Saccharomyces cerevisiae S288C: one gene and its partners. Changing the gene in region 3 together with the main gene of any one other region gives a genetic interaction. Each region holds a gene or a part of one and is shown on either strand. Other genes may lie near its edges. The genes, in order: PHO84, ARO7, PSD2 and MRX11.

What was found.
Region 1: mutations in PSD2 (region 3) and PHO84 together harm fitness more than expected from each alone (negative genetic interaction), as found in Saccharomyces cerevisiae (2 studies listed by BioGRID).
Region 2: mutations in PSD2 (region 3) and ARO7 together harm fitness more than expected from each alone (negative genetic interaction), as found in Saccharomyces cerevisiae (3 studies listed by BioGRID).
Region 4: mutations in PSD2 (region 3) and MRX11 together harm fitness more than expected from each alone (negative genetic interaction), as found in Saccharomyces cerevisiae (2 studies listed by BioGRID).

The regions. Positions count from the first base shown.
Region 1 is NC_001145.3:23,537-27,537, forward strand, and holds PHO84 (phosphate transporter PHO84), read right to left. Parts: upstream 2,265-4,001; coding exon 501-2,264; downstream 1-500. Other genes in the region: alpha-tubulin TUB3, read right to left, coding at 123-147; YML122C (uncharacterized protein), read right to left, coding at 2,502-2,882; Rag GTPase GTR1, read left to right, coding at 3,394-4,001. UniProt on the Saccharomyces cerevisiae protein: Proton-coupled high-affinity transporter for external inorganic phosphate.
Region 2 is NC_001148.4:671,797-677,448, forward strand, and holds ARO7 (chorismate mutase ARO7), read right to left. Parts: upstream 3,836-5,652; coding exon 3,065-3,835; downstream 1-3,064. Other genes in the region: TFIIH/NER complex subunit TFB4, read left to right, coding at 1-346; BRR1 (Brr1p), read left to right, coding at 675-1,700; YMC1 (organic acid transporter), read left to right, coding at 1,955-2,878; JID1 (Jid1p), read right to left, coding at 4,181-5,086; FCY1 (cytosine deaminase), read left to right, coding at 5,369-5,652. UniProt on the Saccharomyces cerevisiae protein: Catalyzes the Claisen rearrangement of chorismate to prephenate. Acts at the first branch point in the aromatic amino acid pathway where it steers biosynthesis towards phenylalanine and tyrosine, and away from tryptophan.
Region 3 is NC_001139.9:832,834-841,058, reverse strand, and holds PSD2 (phosphatidylserine decarboxylase 2), read right to left. Parts: upstream 3,918-8,225; coding exon 501-3,917; downstream 1-500. Other genes in the region: methionine--tRNA ligase MSM1, read left to right, coding at 1-235; LSO2 (Lso2p), read left to right, coding at 4,394-4,672; pseudouridine synthase PUS6, read left to right, coding at 5,156-6,370; PEX35 (Pex35p), read left to right, coding at 6,577-7,707; clathrin light chain CLC1, read right to left, coding at 7,902-8,225. UniProt on the Saccharomyces cerevisiae protein: Catalyzes the formation of phosphatidylethanolamine (PtdEtn) from phosphatidylserine (PtdSer). Plays a central role in phospholipid metabolism and in the interorganelle trafficking of phosphatidylserine.
Region 4 is NC_001148.4:473,226-478,553, forward strand, and holds MRX11 (Mrx11p), read right to left. Parts: upstream 2,517-5,328; coding exon 1,893-2,516; downstream 1-1,892. Other genes in the region: cyclin-dependent serine/threonine protein kinase SSN3, read right to left, coding at 1-1,482; isoleucine--tRNA ligase ISM1, read right to left, coding at 2,768-5,328. UniProt on the Saccharomyces cerevisiae protein: Component of MIOREX complexes, large expressome-like assemblies of ribosomes with factors involved in all the steps of post-transcriptional gene expression.

The DNA of each region.
Region 1 (4,001 bases), on a different chromosome or scaffold from region 3:
GTAAATCAACCAGATGGTGACCAATTGGGAATGAATCAAACCAGATCAGATCAAACTTCTTTCCCTGTCCCACAGGTGCCATTGGTTGCGAATATTGAACAAAAAAAGGAACGCATACATACCATTAATACTAATGACCTCTCTCATTGTCTCAAGTCGCTTGCTTAGTCGATTAATGTACTTTATGAGATACCTGATCTGTGTTTATATTTCTTTTAGATGTGCAATTTGTAAAACGTTTCGTGGTTTCCAGAGGCTCGAGAAATGATATGTCGGGTAACGTCTGGAACTAAAAAAGAAAGGACGATATGCTCTGCTCTGGCACCAGCCAACAGGATGGCAGAGAGATGTGAGGAAATAATGAAATTAAAAGAAATTATCGAATAAATATGTAACCTGACAGTATTTATAGATTATGTAAGGGGTTTGATAATAAGTTTATAAAAATGTTTTTGTATTATTTGTTCTAGTTTACAAGTTTTAGTGCATCTTTGAGGCTTTTATGCTTCATGTTGAAGTTGAGATGGGCTGGAAGATTCAATGTCATTATTCTTGTTTCTGAAGTTTAGCGTAGCAGGATCGATTTCATCGTGGTATAGCTCGTTAATTTCTTCTAGAGTCTTTCTCTTAGTTTCTGGGATCAACAAGGTTGTGAAGATACCCAACAACATGAATAAGGCGAAAATTTCCATGACGTGAGGTAACCAACAGTTGGTTGGCTTACCGTCTCTAGCACAGTTATGGTCGATTAGAGTACCCAAAGCGGTTTGTGCAATAATGGCACCGACCTTACCAGATGCAGCAGAAATACCATGAGCAGTAGATCTGTAACGAGTTGGGAAACACTCACCAGGAACAATAAAGGTGGTTGTGTTTGGACCGAAGTTTTGGAAGAATTGACAAATGACGTAAAGAGCCAACAGACCATGGTCACCAAGTTTATGGTATGCGAAACCGATGACACAGAACAAAGCGGTCAAGATGATGAAACCGGCTAATTGAATTGGTTTTCTACCGATTATATCGACAGTGAAGACGGATACCCAGTAACCAGGTAATGAACCAGCACAAATCAAAATCAGATTACCGACAGCAGTATCATACAGTTTCTTGTAAACGTTTTTGGAACCGGCATAACCGATGGTTTGCAGAATAACAGCACTGTTTAAACTCAACCCGTAGAAAGCAACATCTAAGGTAAACCATGAACCAGCAGTACCTAGCAAAATCTTACCGTACTTCCATTGACCAAAATGTCTGCAGAAATCTTTGAACGAAGCCTTTGGAGGATGATTGTCAAGAGATTCGACGGCAGTAGAAGCTCTTTCCAAACCGTTAATTGCCATGTCTTCATCACTGGTGTCGTGAATTTTCTTTTCGCCATCTTGTTCTTGTGCGGCAGCAGCAAGTTCCAACTTAGCGTTAACATCCAATTGATATCTAGGAGATTCTGGAATAGTTAATCTGAAATACAAACATGCCAACCCTAGAACGGTACCCAACCCAATAAGGATTCTCCACATTTGGTCACAAGCCTTTTGACATCTAGCATCACATTCAGCACCAGAGTTTGCGTATTCTAGTTCGCCCTTGTAAGCAGCAACCAAGATAAGAGCGATGATACCACCGGAGATTTGACCCCAAGCTTGGTTAGCAAAGACAGCACCCATGATGGCACCTCTCCATTTGGTAGTGGCAAATTCAGAAGTAATAATAGAAGATAGTGGGTAGTCACCACCGATACCAATACCCATGACAATACGGTAGAATGTTAAAACAGCAACGAAGTTAATAGCAGGAGAATGAGCAACAGTGGTTTGCAGAATGGTACAGACAATCATGATAATAAGTTCCATACCATAAATTCTCTTACGACCAACAATATCAGCTAAAGTACCAAAACCAAATTGACCAATAACAGTACCAACAGAAGTGGAAACCTTCAACAAGGTTTGACTTGGACCTGGCATACTACCGTGCCAGTAAACGTAGGACATCATAGTGATACCCAAATTAATGGCAAAAATATCATAAGAATCTGTCAAGAAACCAACACCAGCAATGGAGATGGTCTTAACTTGTTGCCAACCGAAACCTTCGTCATCGATGGACTCCAAAGCCAATCTTCTTCTTTCCAGAGGATCTTCAATATGAGCAAAATCATTCAAATGGTTGTGGAAGGCCATGTTACCACCTTCGGTAAGGTGTTCTTTATGAAGACTTCTTTCAGCAACATGAATAGTATCTTTATTGACGGAACTCATTTGGATTGTATTCGTGGAGTTTTGTTTGTTGTGTGCCCTGGTGATCTACGAGATGAGGAAAGATAAAATTTAGAAGTGAACTTAGAACTTTACTTTATACAAGAGATGAGGATGAGCTTATATATATACGTATACGAGCCACAATAGTAAGTGGATCTAAGTTGGCATTACCGGTGTGCAATGTGGTTGCATCATGCTGCCAAAAAGGAATAATAATTAGCTCATAGATGAGGTCGGTTAATTAATGAGTAATACGCACGTTTTTAATCTAGCTAATAAGCAGGCAAAACGGGAGAAGAGGGATAAGGAAAGCCTTTCACACGACATTTGGTGCATAACTGCACCGATCTCACTGATTTCGATGGACTGCGGCGAACCATAATCAATTGCCGTCGCTAATTTCCGCCCCACGTGCTGGAAATAACACGTCCACGTGGAACTATTAAATTGGCATCGGGCGGTGCGGCAGTGAGAGGAACGGGTGTTTTTCAGCCGGGCAACATTTTCTTCATAGCCGCTAGATGAGTTGAAAGGGCCCTTACGAGCAAATGCTGCACGTATAGGGCGCCTATAACAGCACCAACGTGCGTAATACTGATTGCTGTCATTTCTTGGCATGTTTTCTTGGTCAAGGTCTGTGATCTCCCCTTCCGGTTGTGTCTTTTCATAATAATATGGTTTTTTTATTCATAATTTGGTAATAACGGTTGATAAACGAGCGGCTGATAAATTAGTTTCTTTTTTTTTTTAATTTTTTTTTTTTTTGATCTCATTTCTTTTTTTATTGAATCTTTTTTTTTTTGTAAGAAAATTAAGGTTTATTAGGCAGAGTATACCGAGTCGTTTGAAGTCATCTCCGGGTAGTGATTTTTATCACGTGACACTTTTTTATTCCTTTTCTCTTTTCTTTTTTAAATTTTTTTTTTTTTTTTTCATTGATTAACCGCCTCTTCTTTATCACTCTCGCATTCTGTCTACTAAACGGTAAAAAAACGAAGTGAAAAGTTCAATGTGGGACCCTACCCTAAATTGTGATTATGGTAATAATTTCTTTTTGAATAAATACAATAGGTATCTTACACAGGAGTGAAGGCCATCAAAATCACGTTTATCAATCGACAATTTAGTAATGTCGTCAAATAATAGGAAGAAACTGCTTCTGATGGGCCGGTCCGGCTCCGGTAAATCGTCAATGAGGTCGATCATCTTTAGTAACTACTCCGCTTTTGACACTAGGAGATTGGGTGCCACCATTGATGTAGAGCACTCCCATTTGAGATTTCTTGGGAATATGACTCTAAATCTGTGGGACTGTGGTGGGCAGGACGTGTTTATGGAGAATTATTTCACCAAGCAAAAAGACCACATTTTCCAGATGGTGCAGGTGTTAATTCACGTTTTTGATGTAGAGTCAACTGAAGTTCTCAAGGATATTGAAATATTTGCAAAAGCTTTGAAGCAATTAAGGAAGTACTCTCCCGACGCCAAAATTTTTGTTCTTCTGCATAAGATGGATCTTGTTCAGTTGGATAAGAGAGAGGAGCTGTTCCAAATCATGATGAAAAACCTGAGTGAAACGTCTTCGGAATTTGGGTTTCCCAATCTGATAGGTTTTCCTACTTCGATTTGGGATGAGAGTTTATACAAGGCATGGTCGCAGATTGTATGCTCGCTAATACCCAATATGTCCAACCATCAAAGTAATTTGAAGAAGTTTAAGGAGATTATGAACGCCCT
Region 2 (5,652 bases), on a different chromosome or scaffold from region 3:
ACAGCAAACGACGGATGCCACAAATGGCGTTTATTTACATGTTGAATCTACAGAAGGGCTAATTCAATATTTAGCAACTGCAATGTTTATTGATCCGTCGTTAAGACCTATAATTGTTAAGCCAAACCATGGATCTGTAGATTTTAGGACATCATGCTATTTAACAGGGAGAGTTGTTGCCGTTGGATTCATCTGTTCAGTTTGCCTATGTGTCTTATCAATCATACCGCCCGGAAATAAATGTCCTGCTTGTGATTCTCAATTTGATGAGCACGTAATTGCCAAGTTGAAGAGGAAACCAGTTGTTCCAAGGTTGAAAGCCAAAAAGAAGGTGACGAAACCATGAACGAAAGGAATGAACATTATCCGTTTCAAGCAGGTAACCTTCGTCACAATGCATCGTAATAATACATAAAAAAAAATTAGCTTTAAGCACATGTATATTGGACATTCCACAGAAAAAAAAAAGCTTTTGATGTGATTAGCTTAAGACGTTGTGTCATCTTTGAACTGTTTTGACTTCAATCATATCGAATTTGATAATATAACTATCTATGTACTGTCTGGGTGCATCGCTGTTGTTGCTTCGGTAGATTTATTAGTTCGCTTTGGATAATGTATCATACAATAACATTGCCAACATCCATCATAACAGAAACATTAGGTGATAAACAATGAAAAGAGGAGAAAGCCAGGCGCCTGATGCCATCTTTGGTCAATCTCGTGCATTTGCACTATCTGATTCTTCAGTGAATCCTGATGTCATTGAATATCTTAAAAGTGTTAGGCAAGAAGCACTAAGAACCAACGCCATATCGATTAAGAATCATATGAATCTGCAAAAGAGGACGCGTCACAAATCAAGCATGTACGATGATGAGGATGAGGGGGCCCTTAAAAGGCACGCCATCTCGCCATCCTTGATTAGGCTTCAAAGGAATGTAGAAATATGGGTAAGGTGGTTTAACTCTGTGAAGGCGACGGTGTTGACTAATGCCTACGAGTTTACCGGTTATGAGGACGAAACACTGGATCTTTTATTGCTTTTCTTAAAGAATTATCTCGAAGATATGCCCAGCAAATGTACTACAGTTGAAAAAATTATAAGTGTCCTAAATCAGCATTCCTTTCCTGAGAAGGCAGAAGAGAAGGAAGAAAATCTTCAGATTGATGAGGAATGGGCGAAGAATATTTTGGTACGGCTGGAAAAAACCAAGATTGACAGTGTTGAGGATGTAAAAAAAGTAATCACTGAAGGAGATAAACATGAACTAGTTGGATACAACCAGTGGTTCCAATACCTTATAAACAATGAACCGCAGCATACTACTTTTCATGAAAAGATTACCTCTAAGCAACTTTGGGTTCTGATCAAGTATATGTCGAATACATGGATAAAAGAAATACACAAGAAAGGAAGGCATTATCGTCGGCTGCAAGATTGGCTATTCTACATACTGGTACATACACCCGAAAGAGTCACGGCAGAATATACAAGCATCTTGAGAGATCTTGGAAAGAAATGCCTTGAACTGATTCAAAAGAAGCCAGTTGAAGCACATGAGAATAAAATAACACTCCCGAAGGAGATGGCGGAATTGAATGTTGAGATACCAGCCGCGGTGGAGAATATGACGATAACTGAGCTGACAGTGTCTGTTATAGCAGTGAACTATGGTCAAAAAGACTTGATAGAATAATGTAAATAAATTTCTTATGTAGTTTTTTACAGGAAGTAAAAAGTGTTATTACTTTGATTGACTCATTCTTACATTTACTGATAGGCCGAAGATAAGCGGCGCCCTAAGAAAACTCGAGCGCAAATTGTCAGCGATGATGTAGCCATGCTATAGCATCAATCAATGTCAATAAGCTAATAACAACTATCATCTATACTCCAACGCAGCTCTCTTGTTTAGGTTTCTCGTCAATCAAATTCGCATCACGAAGAAGTATGTCTGAAGAATTTCCATCTCCTCAACTAATCGATGATTTGGAAGAACATCCACAGCATGATAATGCTCGAGTCGTGAAAGATTTGCTTGCAGGTACAGCGGGTGGTATTGCGCAAGTGCTAGTGGGCCAGCCCTTTGATACGACAAAAGTTAGGTTACAAACATCGAGCACCCCAACAACAGCCATGGAAGTCGTCAGAAAGCTGCTTGCCAATGAAGGGCCTCGCGGGTTTTACAAAGGAACTCTGACGCCATTAATTGGTGTTGGTGCATGTGTTTCATTACAATTTGGTGTTAATGAAGCTATGAAGAGATTTTTTCATCATCGCAATGCTGATATGTCATCGACTTTGTCATTGCCACAGTATTACGCATGTGGTGTCACAGGCGGTATAGTAAACTCATTCTTGGCGTCCCCAATTGAGCATGTCAGGATTCGCTTGCAAACACAGACTGGCTCAGGCACCAACGCAGAATTCAAGGGTCCTTTGGAATGCATCAAAAAATTAAGACATAACAAGGCCTTGCTACGTGGTTTAACACCTACAATATTGAGAGAAGGTCATGGATGTGGCACATATTTCTTAGTGTATGAAGCGTTGATTGCTAACCAAATGAACAAAAGACGTGGACTAGAGAGAAAGGACATTCCTGCATGGAAACTTTGTATTTTTGGAGCATTGTCTGGCACTGCCTTATGGTTGATGGTATATCCATTAGATGTCATCAAGTCTGTCATGCAAACGGATAATTTACAAAAGCCTAAATTTGGTAATTCTATTTCCAGTGTAGCCAAGACTTTATATGCCAATGGAGGGATAGGCGCTTTTTTCAAAGGGTTTGGTCCTACCATGCTAAGAGCTGCTCCCGCCAATGGTGCCACTTTTGCTACTTTTGAATTAGCGATGAGGTTATTGGGTTGATAATTCCTATAGAATTTATGAGCCATCGTTTAAGAAAATAGTACAATATAATGTATAACTTGAAACTCTATCTTCTTATATTCAATAGATGCTACTATGCGTACATATATATGGTGAGTGTGTGTGTTTATATATGCGTAGTAATCACTCGGCAATGTGGAATTGTTACCGTGATAGCCTTCATGCTTACTCTTCCAACCTTCTTAGCAAGTATTCCACCTCAACTTCCTTAGTGATAGGTATAACAATTTCCTTATAAATTTTTACCAAATATTCTGGAGTAATCCTTCTTTCACCTGACTCGTTGGTAGGGTCCACACCATAGACTTCAGCCTTCTTAGTTAATCTTTCTAGAATCTTTTCTTCAACGGCAGAATTGGTGATATTCTTCATTATCCCCTCGACATCTTTACTTTTGATCAGCTTTGTGTATAGCGGGATATCCGATTGGAACTTGGCTTCAGCAACAAACTTGCCAAAGTGGATTCTCCTACTCAAGCTTTGCAAACATTCTATATCTCTAGTGGCAACAGAACCGAAGTTATTCTTATCATCACCATCTCTTTTCGAAATTAATGGTATAATCTTTTCAATATAAACTTTTTTTATTTTATCATTGTAATTAACTTCTGGGGCATAAGGCGCCAAAATTTGTGGGTAGTTAATGCTCGGTAAGAATGATTTCTGAATCTTGTCAGGAAAGAAGGGAGTTTCATCAGGTGATTCGAATCTTCTGATGCGAGAATGCGCAATTTCAAGATTTGAAAGAGCCCAATCCAAGAAAGATCCTTTAAAATTCGGAATTTCTAAACCTGGATGGTTTGCCTCATAAACTGAAGGACATGTGGCGAAATGCGACCTCTCAATAAATTTGAAGATGATCGAATCCTCCATTCTAACTAATTCATCTCTAATATTTTGTAGATTTAAAACAGTTTCTGGTTTTGTGAAATCCATATCTTATACCAATTTTATGCAGGATGCTGAGTGCTATTTGTTAGCAAAACGGAATCGATGTTTCAACTTTTCAATACTTTTTTTCTTCTTTTCTTCGAACTTCGAAGATTATAGAGATCCATTGAAAATTTACGATAAAGGAAATGCAACACGAAGTTTGAAAAAAAGTTGATATTGAAAAAAAAAAAAAAAGAGAACCAAAAAAAAATTAAAAAACGTGAAAACGATGGTTTAACAACTTTTTTCGAATTTGGTATACGTGGAAAAACGAATGTATAGATGCATTTTTAAAGAATATATATAAAATTTAGTAATTGTATTCCGCGAGCGGCGCAATAGGTGATTTCATTTAGCTGCTTTCAGTTTGCGTATCATTTCTTCATTGATCTTGGCTTCTCTATCTAAATCCTCTTTCGACTTGTAAAGTCCCCAAGTTCTAAACCATAAGAACCGCCTCAATCTGGAAAATTTGTCAGTATCAAGACCATAATTCGTGTATGACTGAATCAAATGTAATCCACTTTCGTCATGAGTAAATTCGGCCTTGCTCAGAGACTCCTGGATTTTGGCTAACAACGCAGTCCCTTCGATGCATATAGCTAGGCCACAAATTATGCCAATAACGGTCCATGGGTTGATGTTTTCTTGAATTCTTTCGTTTTTCATGCTATTTGCGTCTTCCCAAGTCCCAGCGTTCCAGTATTCATACTGCGCGTTAGAGTGGTAGCCATAAGAGCCGGCATATTGGTAATTTTCAGTATTAACGTTAGAACGTGGTGAATACGATGTGGTCCAGCCTTGCCTCGTTGTGTCATATACGATCTTTTTCTTTGGGTCACAAAGAATATCATATGCTTGAGAGATGACTTTAAATCTATGTAGTTTTTCGCTTGATGTTAGCAGCAGCGGTGATTTACTATCACTGTTGGTAACCTTTTCTGAGCTAAATATTTGAATGTTATCGGAATGGTCAGGGTGGTACAATTTTACATAACGATGATATTTTTTTTTTAACGACTTCTTGTCCAGTTTAGGATTTCCAGATCCGGCCTTTGGAATGCCAAAAATATCATAGGGAGTTGGATCTGCCAACTCAGGCCATTGTTCATCCCTTATCGTAAGTTTTCTATTGCCATTTTTATCGTTCGCTGTAGCATACTTAGCTATAAAAGTGATTTGTGGGGGACACTTTTCTACACATGATAAGTGCCACTTGAATAAAAATGGGTATACGAACTTATGGTGTAGCATAACAAATATATTGCAAGTAGTGACCTATGGTGTGTAGATATACGTACAGTTAGTTACGAGCCTAAAGACACAACGTGTTTGTTAATTATACTGTCGCTGTAATATCTTCTCTTCCATTATCACCGGTCATTCCTTGCAGGGGCGGTAGTACCCGGAGACCCTGAACTTTTCTTTTTTTTTTTGCGAAATTAAAAAGTTCATTTTCAATTCGACAATGAGATCTACAAGCCATTGTTTTATGTTGATGAGAGCCAGCTTAAAGAGTTAAAAATTTCATAGCTAATGGTGACAGGGGGAATGGCAAGCAAGTGGGATCAGAAGGGTATGGACATTGCCTATGAGGAGGCGGCCTTAGGTTACAAAGAGGGTGGTGTTCCTATTGGCGGATGTCTTATCAATAACAAAGACGGAAGTGTTCTCGGTCGTGGTCACAACATGAGATTTCAAAAGGGATCCGCCACACTACATGGTGAGATCTCCACTTTGGAAAACTGTGGGAGATTAGAGGGCAAAGTGTACAAAGATACCACTTTGTATACGACGCTGTCTCCATGCGACATGTGTAC
Region 3 (8,225 bases):
TTTGGCTATGGAAACGTCTAGAATCCTCTCCATTTTATGCCAATCCATTATACCATCTCTCTCACAAAGTTTCCTAGATCGTATTGATGTTTCAAAGGAGAAAAGGACTATAAATTATGCTAGATTGGGTTCCGATAAAACATATGGAAAGCAATCTAACAAGAAAGGCCGAGAAGTACCTTTGAAAAAAATTCCATTCAGGTTGCAAGAGGAACAAACGAATATGAGGTCATGAAAAAGGTACTTACTGCACTGTAAATATTAACTTAAGTATTATATCGTATTTTCTGCAAGAGGACTAGGAATATAGTTTCTTTTGTTACTAATAAAAATGCATATTTTTCATAGGAAATTTCCTGGTATGAAACCATTGCTTTCATTATCAACGATGACTTGTTTGTACACGCTATAGTCTATAATAAAGTCTGAGGGAGATTGTTCATGTTTTTTTTTTTTTTCCATTTTGGTAACCACTAACTACAGCCAATTTTTCGGCGGCTTCATAGCCCAGCAAAATCTTTATTCATCATTTCCCGTAAAGTATGATATTCCCATGTTACATTTCCTGTACTCTTGGCATTTTCATCGCTAACACTAATTGTTCTCTTGATCCGTTCAATTTTCTTTGGGTCGTCTACTTTAATACGGATTCTCTTCAATTCATTCACATTTGATGTGTGTCCTATACTCATCCCGACTTTGACTAACGTTTCAATGCGTTCTGAAGAGTTTTTCACAAGGTCGGAATCAAACATGAAGTTGTTGTGCGGGATAATGATTATTATAGTAGAACCTCCAAATTTAAAATAGCCCAGCTCCTGTCCACTCTCAACTACATCGTTTTCTTTGCAGGTCAATAGTATGGATCCAACCATCATTGCACCAATAGGTATGTACAGTAGTTTGCCAAATTGAGGAGAATCGATGGGGATAATAACTCTGATATTTTCACCAAAGACGTCTAACTCACTACGAACGGCCATTGGATTTACAGTATAATACTCTCCATCCACATATACAGGTTTTCCAATCGTACCATTACATGGTGAGTGAAACCGGTGATAATCTTGTGGCGCCAGTCTAAATATACCAATACTGCAGTTATTGTCATTAAATGTTTCCGGATTATAGTTATTGGCTAGTTTCTTAATAGAAAATTTTCTTCCTTTCACCCATATTTCCTTCGATTCTTGTATAGTTGGGAACACTGTGCATCTTGAATCTGCTGGTGAAAACAATATTTCTTTATTATTACTTTCAGGCAGCCGGCTTCCTGGTTTTAGTTTCCTGTAAAAAAATTCATTGAATGTTTTAAAATCTTTATCTCGGCATTGTGAAAGGTCTAGCGAGTGAAACTTTATGAAAGGTTCAATTTGTTTGGCAGATGCAGTGCTGTCAAATTTTTTGCCTTGCCTGATTGATAAAGTCTTCAAGAGGGATCTAAATTTTTTAGACTCGGGACTTTTACCATTGTATATAATCCTCATTCCCAACTTTACGTGTGCGCTTATTTTTTCCTCAATAATTATCCCTGTGTCTCGGTCTTGAACCAAGATGTTTGCATTGTTAGATCCCAAAGCATATTTACCATAAGTTAATTTTATCAAAACCTTAGAGAACCATCTCTTGGATGCAAATGCAGATGAGACGTACGACGGCTTTAAAGTTTTGTGTTCTTTTGAAAACGTACATATGGCAAAATGGGTTATCAAGTCATTTTCTAGAACCAGTTTAGAACGTCTAGCATTTCTAGTTGGTTTGCATGAACGCATGCATCTAGGACATGTCCAGATGCGTTTAAAATTAGTGGATTTTCTCCATGACTGTAGCCCTTCAACTAATTGTGATCTAGTAATGCTCTGGCCGGCCCAAGCAGATTTATTGAAATGCTGAAAGAGTTCAAAAGAATCGGCCATCGTGAATGAACCAAGACGTTCAAGATAGAGCATTACTTGAATAATGTCGAGTCTCTCTAAGTTGACTGATGTGTCAACAGCTTCTTTCCAAAAGCTCTTTTTTAAGAACGGATATGAAACATATTTGAAGCTCGAATATAATACCGGTTGCTTAGGAGCATGTGCTGGCTCAACAGTGAGATCCAATGGTATCTCATAAGGTATCCATTCGTTTTCATGTTGTTGCTGTTGCAGCATATCAAACCAAGCCAGTTCGCATTTTGCAACGTCATCATTGAATGAAAATGAGTCTTTATCAACAACTTTGATACTGAAAGCAAAATTCGTTTCATGGGGAAAAACTTCGAAAGCGGCATATTCATTAAATTCTGGGTTTAAAGTATGTTTTCTCCAAGATGTCTTGAATACTCTTCTACCAAACGAAATAACGATAAATGGATCCATTTCATAATTAGTCTTGGACAACCGATTCCTTAATGCAGGTAAATTTTTGATAGCCCCAATATGCATAAATACTACCCCCATCGCATGTTCCTTTTTCGATATAAAAAAGTTACTTTTTGCTCTTCTGTATAAGTAATTTGCATATGATTTATTATGTTTACCCCTTTGCAGGTGTAAAAGCCGACTCCCAATGTATTCTTTTGATTGAAAATCAGAATCTTCACGCTCATCCTCATTATATATATCAAACTCCTCATCACTTTCCTGTTGGTTTTCAGATTCTTCGTCATCCACTGATGTTATGTCATTTTCCGACACTGCAGGTAATTTTGCAACATCTTCTGGTTCTACGATATCATATTCATCTAAAGCTGTTATCATTGAAGATAGACTGATACGGGTATCTTCGTCGATGTCATGCACATTTATGTCTGGCACATTTGGATGATCTGCTTCTTCAAAATCATTTAGAATATCTAGTTCTTCATCATTTAGCGAAACAACCTCAGATATAGAGTCGAATATAGTATCATTGTCTATATCGTACCTCCTCTCCGTACAAATGCTGCCGCTGCTATTCATATCTTCAATAGATTCCTCAGCATCTATTTCATCCTCGGCATTGACCTCTTCATCGTGGGCTAGATCAGTATCGCTATATGGTTTCTCGCGTCGTATTTCATTTCCACTAACAGCTGAACTATTGCTCAACATATCTTCTAGTGGAGGTGGCAAAGAACTAGAAGATCTCATGCGGGCCTTATTTCTATCTATTCTGCCCAAGTAAGTGTTCAACTCATTTCTCCAAGCATTGAAAGCCTGAAAAGTCGGGGTTCTTTTAACGTTACATTCTAGCTTAAATCCAAGCAAAATATCGCCCACTAGAAAGTTGCAGTTCAAGGAATCTTGGTCTTTCCCTCCTTTCATATCGTATAGATGGTACCGCTGAGCTTCAATTGAAAATTTATAGCTCGTCGTGGTGTCCTTCCTCTTGAATAAATCCAGTAATGAAATTTTTGCTTCACCCAAATATAGATAGCTATTAATCCTATTTTTGTGTGTGGACCCGGGACCTGTTGTTGAGAGAGAAGAGGAAGAATGTGAAGGGGCCGGTGTAGCTGAAGATGATACTGAATTAATTGATGTTGAAGTTTGATTACCTTTGGACGTAACATTCAAATTTCTCGACGAATGAGAGTGAGAACTTAGCCCTGAATTTGACAGTGTCGATGAAGATGTATTTGCAGTGGTTGTCCTTGGTCTACTGGGGGTAGTAGGGGGAGCTCCGGTTGGTAGGGCGTCGTATACTATAATCCTTAACCATTCAGATGTTGGATTTCTCGGAAGTTTGATCCTCAAGGTTTGATTCCAGTGTGTATTTGAGTTCTTGAGCTTGTTCGTCTTTTGACTATAAAATGTATTAGTGGTAACAAAACATACCGGGTTACAATTGAATGTCTTCAAGGCTTCAATATTTTCAGCTTGAATGACATGAATTTTTAAAATTAGCGTTGGCTTCTTGTTCTTGCCTCGCTTTCTGCCCTTAATAATCCTCATCTTCGTCGTTGGATGCTCCTGAAAATCGAGGATTCTTTACCAATTGATACAGCATCAACCACTTTGGGCTAGTTTTAGCATCAAATTGGAATAGTTGTCATATATAAGAAGAATTCCTTGAAGTAGCACATGCGTTAGGGCTAGGATCTCAAGTTTCCAAGAGTTTGACATGTGCCCTGCTTTTTTGTCTTTCTCCTTCTTCCAAACCTCATTTTAAAGTAACATAACCTTTGTATTTTTCATATTAGCCCTTAGTTTTTTTTTACCCTAAAAAAATTTTTTTTTTTTTCTTTGAGTCGTGAAAGCTTTTTTTTTCCAGTTAAAGACCCCTCAAAATGAAAAACTTGTATAATGTTTAAAATAAAGCTGAATAAGTTGAAACTCAAGTTTATATTTAATAGGTAAAAGAATTTATCAATTGAGCACAAAACCTGCCTATACAGGAAATAATAGAATAGCAAAGAGGAAGTAAAAAGATGGGTAAAAGATTTTCAGAATCCGCCGCAAAGAAAGCAGCTGGCTTAGCAAGAAAAAGAGATCAGGCACATGCTAAACAAAGAGCACAAATGGAGCAGCTAGAAGCGGAGGAAGCTTCTAAATGGGAACAAGGTTCGAGGAAAGAGAATGCCAAAAAATTAGAGGAAGAGCAAAAAAGACAAGAAAAAGCAAGAGCTAAAAAGGAGCGCGATGCGTTGCTAACCGCAGAGGAGGAGCAACTGGGCAAGGGTGGCAAGGGTAAAAGAAAAATGAAATAAATTTGAAGAATCTTAGCCTTATAGCGGCTAATAATTGCATATGATAAAGTCATTCCCACTTTATCTCCATAAACATAAAAACGCAAGACAAATAACGACAATAAAAGTAACAGTGGTAATAATAATACTTCTGTATGAGGATGCTTATCTTTTGCGGGTTGAGTACAAAAATACACATGGTAAGAAATCACTGTTCAACGTTATAAGAATAAAGAGGGACGAGGAAGGATAATGCAAGTGTAGTTTACAGTAAAAAGAATGACTTTATGGTACTAATGGTATGAATAGTTGAAATTATGTACATTAGATTTGCATATGTATGTATATATAGCTTGCTGTCATACAAGAAGATTGATAACAATGATAAAAGTTAATGAAAAATTTACTTTTTTTCTTTCATTAAAAGGCAAATAAATGTTTCTTGTGAAAACTTTATTGACGATTGCTCGAGACAATCAGTGGGCAAAAGGATGATTGTCAAGTATGTCAACTATCAAAGTTATTGAGGTATATACACAGAATGGACTGAGAAAGGTACGGCCCTATTATAACAGAAGATCAGCGTTCGTGAAGGGGCGCTGGTTGGGTAAGTTACTAATAGACGTTCTCGTTAGTGAATTTAAACTTCGCCCAAGAGCTTATTATTTGGACCAAATAAGGAAAGGCACATATAGGTTGATCCGAGATGGTGTGCCGCTGGTACCAGATCATCTCATGACTACCATAATCAAGAATCATGATGTTTTAGAAACAACTACGCATAAGCACGAACCGCCGGTAAAACAATGGTGTAGCCAGGAAGTTGAAGCGGAGGATTTACCTGGCAGAATAGCGGGATTCAATATTGTTTTTGAAGATGAGAGTATCCTCGTCATTGATAAACCCAGTGGTATACCAGTGCATCCAACCGGTCAGTTTTACCAGAACACAATTACTGAATTACTGAAGTTACATGGTGTAGATGCTCTTCCTTGTTATCGGTTAGACAAGATCACATCAGGCTTGTTGATATTGGCCAAGAACAGTCAGAGTGCGGGGGAAATCCAGAAGAGTATTCGTTCAAGAGATATGATTAAGATCTACTTGGCAAGGGTCAAGGGAAGATTTCCTCACTCCGAATTGATATTGGACAATGAAAATGCGGCGGAAACGACTTTTGAGGACACTTCCAAAGTTACAGTGGAAATGACACCCATATATTCTATCGATCCAAAGAGACAGTTTCCAGTTGGTTTATCGACATCGAAGGATGCTATTACCAAGTTCTACCCAATAAGATACTTCTCTCATGCTGATGAAACTGTCGTCGCTTGTAAGCCAATAACTGGAAGAACACACCAAATTCGAATCCATTTAGCTAGGCTCGGTCATCCCATCGTCAACGATAGTGTTTATTGTTCGCATATTACAAAATACCCCGAAAGGCTTAAGTTTATAACTCAGTTTCCTAGATGGGAGAATCAGCAGGATTTAGATGCTGAGGAATTGAAAGTGAGGTTTCAAAAATTTGTCGATGAGACAAAAAATAATTGTCGGACAATGGAAACATTTTGTCCTGAATGTCATACTGTTGATTTAAAGGATCCTGTGCTATCAGACCTAGAATTATGGTTGCATGCTTGGAAGTATGAGGAGATTAATGGCAAATTCAAGTTCAAAACAGATTTACCAAAATGGGCACAATTGGACAATAGTTAAACTTTTTTTTGAGCGAACTTTTTTTGTATATAGTTTAGTTACCATTTCCGTACTTTGGATGTAAATTAAAATTAAAGAGAGACATTATTTTTAGTTGCGAATACATAACAGCGAATGTTCATGGGGAAAAGTTAAAAACCCTATATAAAGCACCACGAAATACACATCGCGAACAGAGCTAATGAGAGTATACACTTGCTAACTATATGAAACACAATCGTCCAAATGGTACTGGGAAAGCAGTTTCTGGCTTCAAGCAGATAATAAGAAGGCTTCTACTCCTCTTGAACAAGAAGAGAAGAAAACAACTCGTCATCATCTTGAAAAGAATAACCCAAGTCTATGGAATAAACCTAGTATTTTATGTCAAAAAATGGAAATTGAAAAAATTACAGGGTGAAAATATTCAAATAAATGATATCATGCCATGGCTAAGAGAGTCTACTATATTAGTCTTGCTGAACATACTATATCCAACTTTGATGAAGTTCCCATTTTTAAAAAATCATTATATTCACTGGTCTTCCATTGTAGGAATATCGTTAATGCTTACCAAGGGTGAGGTACCTTCGTGGATTATCGCACACTTTCTTGTGGAAGCTATAGCCTCCAAATTAAAGATCGCAAAATTAACACAATGGTTGAAAAAAAAAAATTTTTCCCAGGGTACATTAATAAAATTCCAGCAAATTCTTGTGTGTTTAGCGATTATTGTATTATTTGCCAAACTGGACAGGAGTTCGTTACCATTCCGTGTGCTTTTTGACCATAGGCCATTTTTAATAGATTTCTTCACAATCAATGCCATTTTCACAGTTTTGGCAGTATATCACAGAACATTAAAATTCTTTTTTACTTCAGGGACGAAATCAAATAAGAATGTCGGCGGCCACGAAGTCAGGAACTTTTCTCAATACCTTGGGGTCAAGAACCATAATGATTGGCCCATATCTTCATCAAATTTGAAGCATGTAATGGACAGACTAAATGAAATACATGAAGTTACAATTGATGATAATTATGCAAATATAAACGAAAAGATAATAAATTCATATTTCACCAAGGGTTTTTTTCCAAGTCTAAAATGGACTATATTAAGGCAGTGTATCGAATATTTATTCGTCACGAAAAGGCGCAGATTAATGGGCAACAAATTGCGGTGCATCGTGATGCTTCTTACATTCACCTTCGTGGATCCAACAAGTAAAATGAAAATCAGCCCATTTTTCGCAAAATTCTTTGCGAAGTCCTTGGTTAATGTTTACTTGAAAAAGTATTGGCATTGCAACTTTGGGAAATATATACTATTCTTTTTGTTTCAGCTTAGTATTATGTGATGTGTTTTTTTAGAAGAGAAGAGTTTACAAGTTTGTAAATAATCTATATTATAGTTGTCTTGATAAATGAATTTACAGTATGAATTAGTTATTTACTGAACCTATCAAGTATGATACTCATGTATGACGGGAATGATAGGGAATAAGCCCCTTCTCTTCCTTAGTTCATTATGGTTCTTATTATTCATCATCATTTAAGCACCGGGAGCCTTCGCGTTACCTTTCAATCTCAAAAGAATTTCTTTAAGCTTAGACCTGTCTCTACCCCCAATGATATCGGCATCATCTTGGTTAATTAATTGAAGTGCACGATCCCAGGTCGTATTGTCTTGACCAAAAAATTCATCTCTTTTCTTTAAGAAAGCCTCAGCTTCCTTAGCAGCATCTTCCAATTGTTGTTCCTTCTTTTTATTGTAAGAATCGTAAAAATCGTCAATATGTTTGATAGCTTCATCCTGCAATTCCTTTTTTAACTCCTCGTCCTTTAAATCCTTTTCGTGAATCTCTACAGCACGACG
Region 4 (5,328 bases), on a different chromosome or scaffold from region 3:
GATGTCATTATCGTTCGTGTGAATTCTTCTTGCCGGGTATTTGTAAGTTAGACCTTCAAATACATTTTCACTAACAGGAATATCACTTTCTGTGAAGTACTTATGTTCCAACGCATTAAATGCATCTATTCTTTTAATTGGATCATAATTTAACAAGTGGTAAAGTAAGCTTAAAGCATGCTTGTCCCTTCCTCCCGCGGAATGATACCATGTAGCAAGGTTATCCCTATACTTTGGAAACTTCGTAATTTGATCATATTCTGGATACTTCTCCAAATAAGGCCAAATTTTTTGATCGGGAGTGCCAAGAACTTCCAAAATTCTCTGTAGTTGATTCACTTGAAATGGAACAGTCTTTTTAGAGTCTAGTTTAGCTTCTTCACCTTTAAATATGGGCTGTAATCCTATCAGTTCTGCAAAAATGCAGCCAACGGACCATAAATCAACCGCAGGGGTATAGTGCCGTGCTCCCAATAGCAACTCAGGTGCACGGTACCATATAGTGACAACCACTTTATCCCCAGTATAGAGGGTTTGCAGCATATTATGAAATTTTCTGGCCAAACCTAAATCACCAATTTTAACACATCCATCTATGGTCACCATTATATTTGCGGGTTTCAAATCTCGATGAAGCACCCAATTTTGATGAAGATACGATACGCCGTCTAAAAGCTGCCACATAATAGACCGAACCATTCTTGGTGGTATCATCCTTTTTTCGGGATGGGAATGGAAGTGGATAATTTGTAGCAGATCATGCTCCGCATATTCGTATACCATATGGACACATTTCCTTTCCAAAAAAATTTCCACTAATGTGGTTAAATGCTTGTTGTGCAATTCTCGACATAATGCCATTTCTCTACAGGCACTCTGAGATATTCCCGTATAATGCAATTGTTCGACGCCATCCTTCTCTGTCTTGAACTTTTTAATGGCATAAAATACCGTCAGCGGTTTTTTAATGAGGGTTTGTTTTTGGGAATTATAGTGCGGGGATACATCTTCCCTCGTAGTTCGTATTCTTCCGGGGGTCACTCCTTCATCCTTTAACAAGTTTCTTCTTAATGCGTTTGTATTTGCCTGCATGTCCATTGAAGAGCTTGATTTTGGTTGCGTGCTGTCAAACTGCGGAATTTTCGCATTGGTACCATTCAGACTAGAACCATTAGCGGAATTGGTACCGGAGTTGATTTGTCTTTTCGCTTTGTAAACTTTACCATATGTGCCCGCAGCAATGTAGCCAATAACTTCGTACTTTTCTAAGACAGATACCCGCATTCTATCTTTTCTTGCCCTATAAGGTCCAATAGTAAAAACATCATTATTGGCCATTAGCATCGGGGCTTTTCCATGCACACTTCCGATTGTGTTTTTCTTTCCAACGAACGATTGAGCTTGCTGTTGTCCTTGTACCTGCATAGGCCTTTGGTACATTGGCTGATAGGAGTTTTGTGCTCTATCCTTGCCATTATACATTTCTCTCTCCTCCCGTCAAAACTAGGCGGCCTTAATTCAATTGGGAAGCAAAATTACTAACTTCAGTATACCCTTCCGCCTTTTTTCTTTCCTATAAACCTTTCTTGTATCCTTTTTGTCAGCAGTGATTGTGGGATAACTTTCAAGTATTGAAGCGGGAAAATGAAACGCAACTTAAGCCACACCACGTAATTCTTGAAGACTTTTGATGTATGATATTTATTTCACTGTTAAAAAAAGCTATAATTTCCTCTAATCAAAACTCTCTAAAACGAAATCAAAAATATTCGTAACACATATATAACGAAGTACAATATATTGGGAATCTATAAATCATATGCCGAGTGCGCAACTTCAACTGAAAACAATAATCCGTCTCTGGGCCAGAAAAAAAAAAGGAAAAAAAAGCTTTATTTCTTAATAAGGTGCTTTAATTTTTGAAAGGGAAGAAGCAACCATTTCCCAAAATATGGTGCTCCCCAGATACTAATGAAAATGCGTACCGGATATAGTAATTTTACTGTAACGTAGGCTACTGTGCCAGATAAAATCAACTTGTTTTTGTTGAGGCATTCCTGATATCTCTTACCAACAAATTTCTCCATAGCTGTATGACAGCTATCCATTAGGCCATTTAAGAAGTTTGGGAGCTTAAAATCATCAGAAAGATCGAGGTTATAAAGTAACCACCATAGTAGAAACAGTGGTAGTATGGCAGTTACCTCATGCAAGATGAAGAATGATGTAAGTGTTGGAACCGTGCCGGCCTCACTGAGGCGGTCGAAATAGTGTGAAAATTTAGGATTCTTGTTTAACCTTGTTAAAAGTCGTGACTTGGAAAATATTTTACGTAGTCTATCCTCCCTTCTTTTCACTGGATCTAAATTTCCCGATATGAATCTAATTTGGGTTGATCCGCCGGGCCTGGTGTTCATAAACGTGGTCAATTGCGTTGGCCTTTTAAGCATGAGCTCCAACGGTCCAGAGCCCATCTGCAGTTGACAGGGCCTGAAGAAAAGATTCATGACAGTCATGTTCCTGGTGAGGGTGCCTTGGGTGTAACACTTATCCTTACACGGTCTCTCAAAAGCAATATTTTTACATTTCTCTTCTTTGCTTCCTGTTCGTATAACGCGCTGAGAGCTGGTAAGAACAATAGGCCGAGGCCCTGCATCAAAATGTCAGTAGGGGACCTGTTAGGTACCCACTAATAAGTACAAGAGGGTTTTTATTTTCTAAGAGCCAATAATTGGCATTCTTTATATACAGGAAAGGTACATGTCATTCAAGACATGAGATGATCCACAGCTTCTTTACATCTGTCACACAATTTATCCTCTTCGGCTGAGTTGGCCTTCCAACATCTGGGACAGTTGTGCCTTTTGCTTCGTTCAACCAATATTTGAACGTTTATTCCGCTTCCCAATTCAATAGTTGGTAGACTGTTATTATTATCGTCCATTTGCAATATATCAACAGCAGATGATTGCAATATGTCGCAAAGCTCGTCAGAACTGAATGGGAGGTGATGCTTGGTGAAAATGGTAACGTGACTATGTGTTGTTTTGGTGACACCTTCTTCTAGACTTAACCTCTTGAATTCCTCCTGGAACTGTTTTAGAATTTTTAGTTCAAAGTTTTCAAAGGAGGTGACGATTTCCGTATTTGAGTCCAAAAACGGCCATTTTCCACGCATCGGATTAATGTCTATATGTTCTTGTCCTTGTAACCATCCTTCTGGTATATACTTCCATACTTCTTGGACCATAACGGGTAATATTGGTGCAAGAATTGCCCTATATGCATTTAGTATATGGACAAGCGTTGTTTGGACCTGCCTTCTTGCCAATGACGATATTTGGTTGGAATATAAAATATCCTTTGAGATATCAAAATAAAACGCCGATAGCTCGTTATTTAAATGATATTGTAGAGTAATGAGAACCTTGGAAAAGTTGTACTTTTGGTAGTGTTCTCTCGTCGTTTCCAGCAGTTCGTTTATCTTATACAAGGTATATTGATCAACACGGCGTAATTGTTCAATCGGCAAAAGGTTGAAATCTTGGGACTTCTGTAAATTACTCAATAAATAGCGAAAAGTTAGTCTAACCTTTTTTAGAGCTTCTCCTACATGTTTCATCACAGTCGGGCCAGCAACTATATCAGTTGTGAAATTCGATTGTGCTATCAGATACCTCAAGCCATCAACACCCAAAGCTGGTAAGCCTAAGTTTTCATCGCCTCGAATTATTGCTTCGGGAGAAATTGTATTTCCCACAGATTTTGACATTTTCAGACCATTCTCATCTAGGGTAAAACCATGAGTAATCACTTCTTCATATGGTGCAACAGGGACATTACTTGATGCTACTTTTGTTAGCAGTGAACTTTGAAACCATCCTCTATGTTGATCAGATCCTTCTAGACAAACTTGGTACAGGGGGGATGGGAGTTTTGACAACTTTAAGCTTTTTTCATAAAAGTCTTTGATCACACTCCATGACGACCCACTATCAAACCACACATCCATAGTATCTTGAGAACGACAGTATTCATGCGCTACGTCGTGATATTTTTCTGGCAACCATTCTTTCATGTCATTATCTTTATCGTTAAACCATGCATTAATTCCTTTTTGTTTGATTTTTTCTATGGCATGTGCCAAAATTTCTGAATTCATCAAAACAGAATCCGGTTCGCTCTTCTTGTAAAAGCTTAATATAGGGATACCCCATGAGCGTTGCCTAGATATGCACCATTCATTTCTGCTTTTCATAAAGGATGAAAGTCTTGAATAGCCTCTTTTAGGACAAAACTTGACGCGGCTGATGCTTTCCAGAGCCAAGTTTTTTACATCGTGTAAATCTGCAAACCACTGTGGAGTAGCTCTTATTATGACAGGTTTCTTGGATCTCCAGTCGTACGGATAAGAATGCGTGTATTCGTGAGATTTGTAAAGTAAATTAAGGTCGCTTAACTTACATAGAATGATTTTCGCGGTTTCGGCATCCAATACTTGCCTACCTTTTGTTAAGTCTCCTTCATCTCTCACGATGGATCTGACGGACTGAGGAAGTTCATTTAATTGGTAGCGGCCCTGGTGATCCACGGGAGAATAAATTTCAAGACCATTTTGAATACCAATGAGATAGTCATCCTGTCCATGCCCTGGTGCTGTATGAACCAATCCAGTCCCTGTACCGCTGGTAACGTGTGCACCATGTAATAAGGGCCTGCCAACCTTATCGTCTACTAAGAGGTTTTGATAATATAGCCCATTTAGATGAGTTCCTTGAAACTGTTTGATAGTCTCAAATGAGTTAGTTGTTAGGCCCAATTTATCAATGGAGCCGGTCTCTACAAGGATAAGTTCACTATTTAAGCGTAATAGGGAGTAGGAAAAATCCTGATTGAAACAGATTGCTCGATTAGAGAGAAGAGTCCATGGAGTACTGGTCCAAATCAAACAGTATATAGGCAAGTTATTCGTTATTCCTAGTTTTTTGCACAGATCCATCTGGGATTTCTTTTCAAGAGGAAATTTAACATAAGCAGCGATGGATTTATGGTTTTCATTATATTCTAATTCGCCCTCTGCTAACGCTGTTCTAGTTTCTGTACCCCAGTAAACCGGTTTGTTCTGTCTCTTAATCAGTCCTCTTTCGTACATTTCTTTAAAAATATTTAGCTGATTAATTTCATAGTCTTTATCCATTGTTAGGTATGGTGTTTCCCAGTCCGTTAAGATGGCAAAATGTTGGAAAGTTTCCCTTTGCCTCTTGATTGCCTTTTGTGCATGTTTTAAAGCCATTGACCTGATTTTTAAAGGCGATATTGACTCGATCT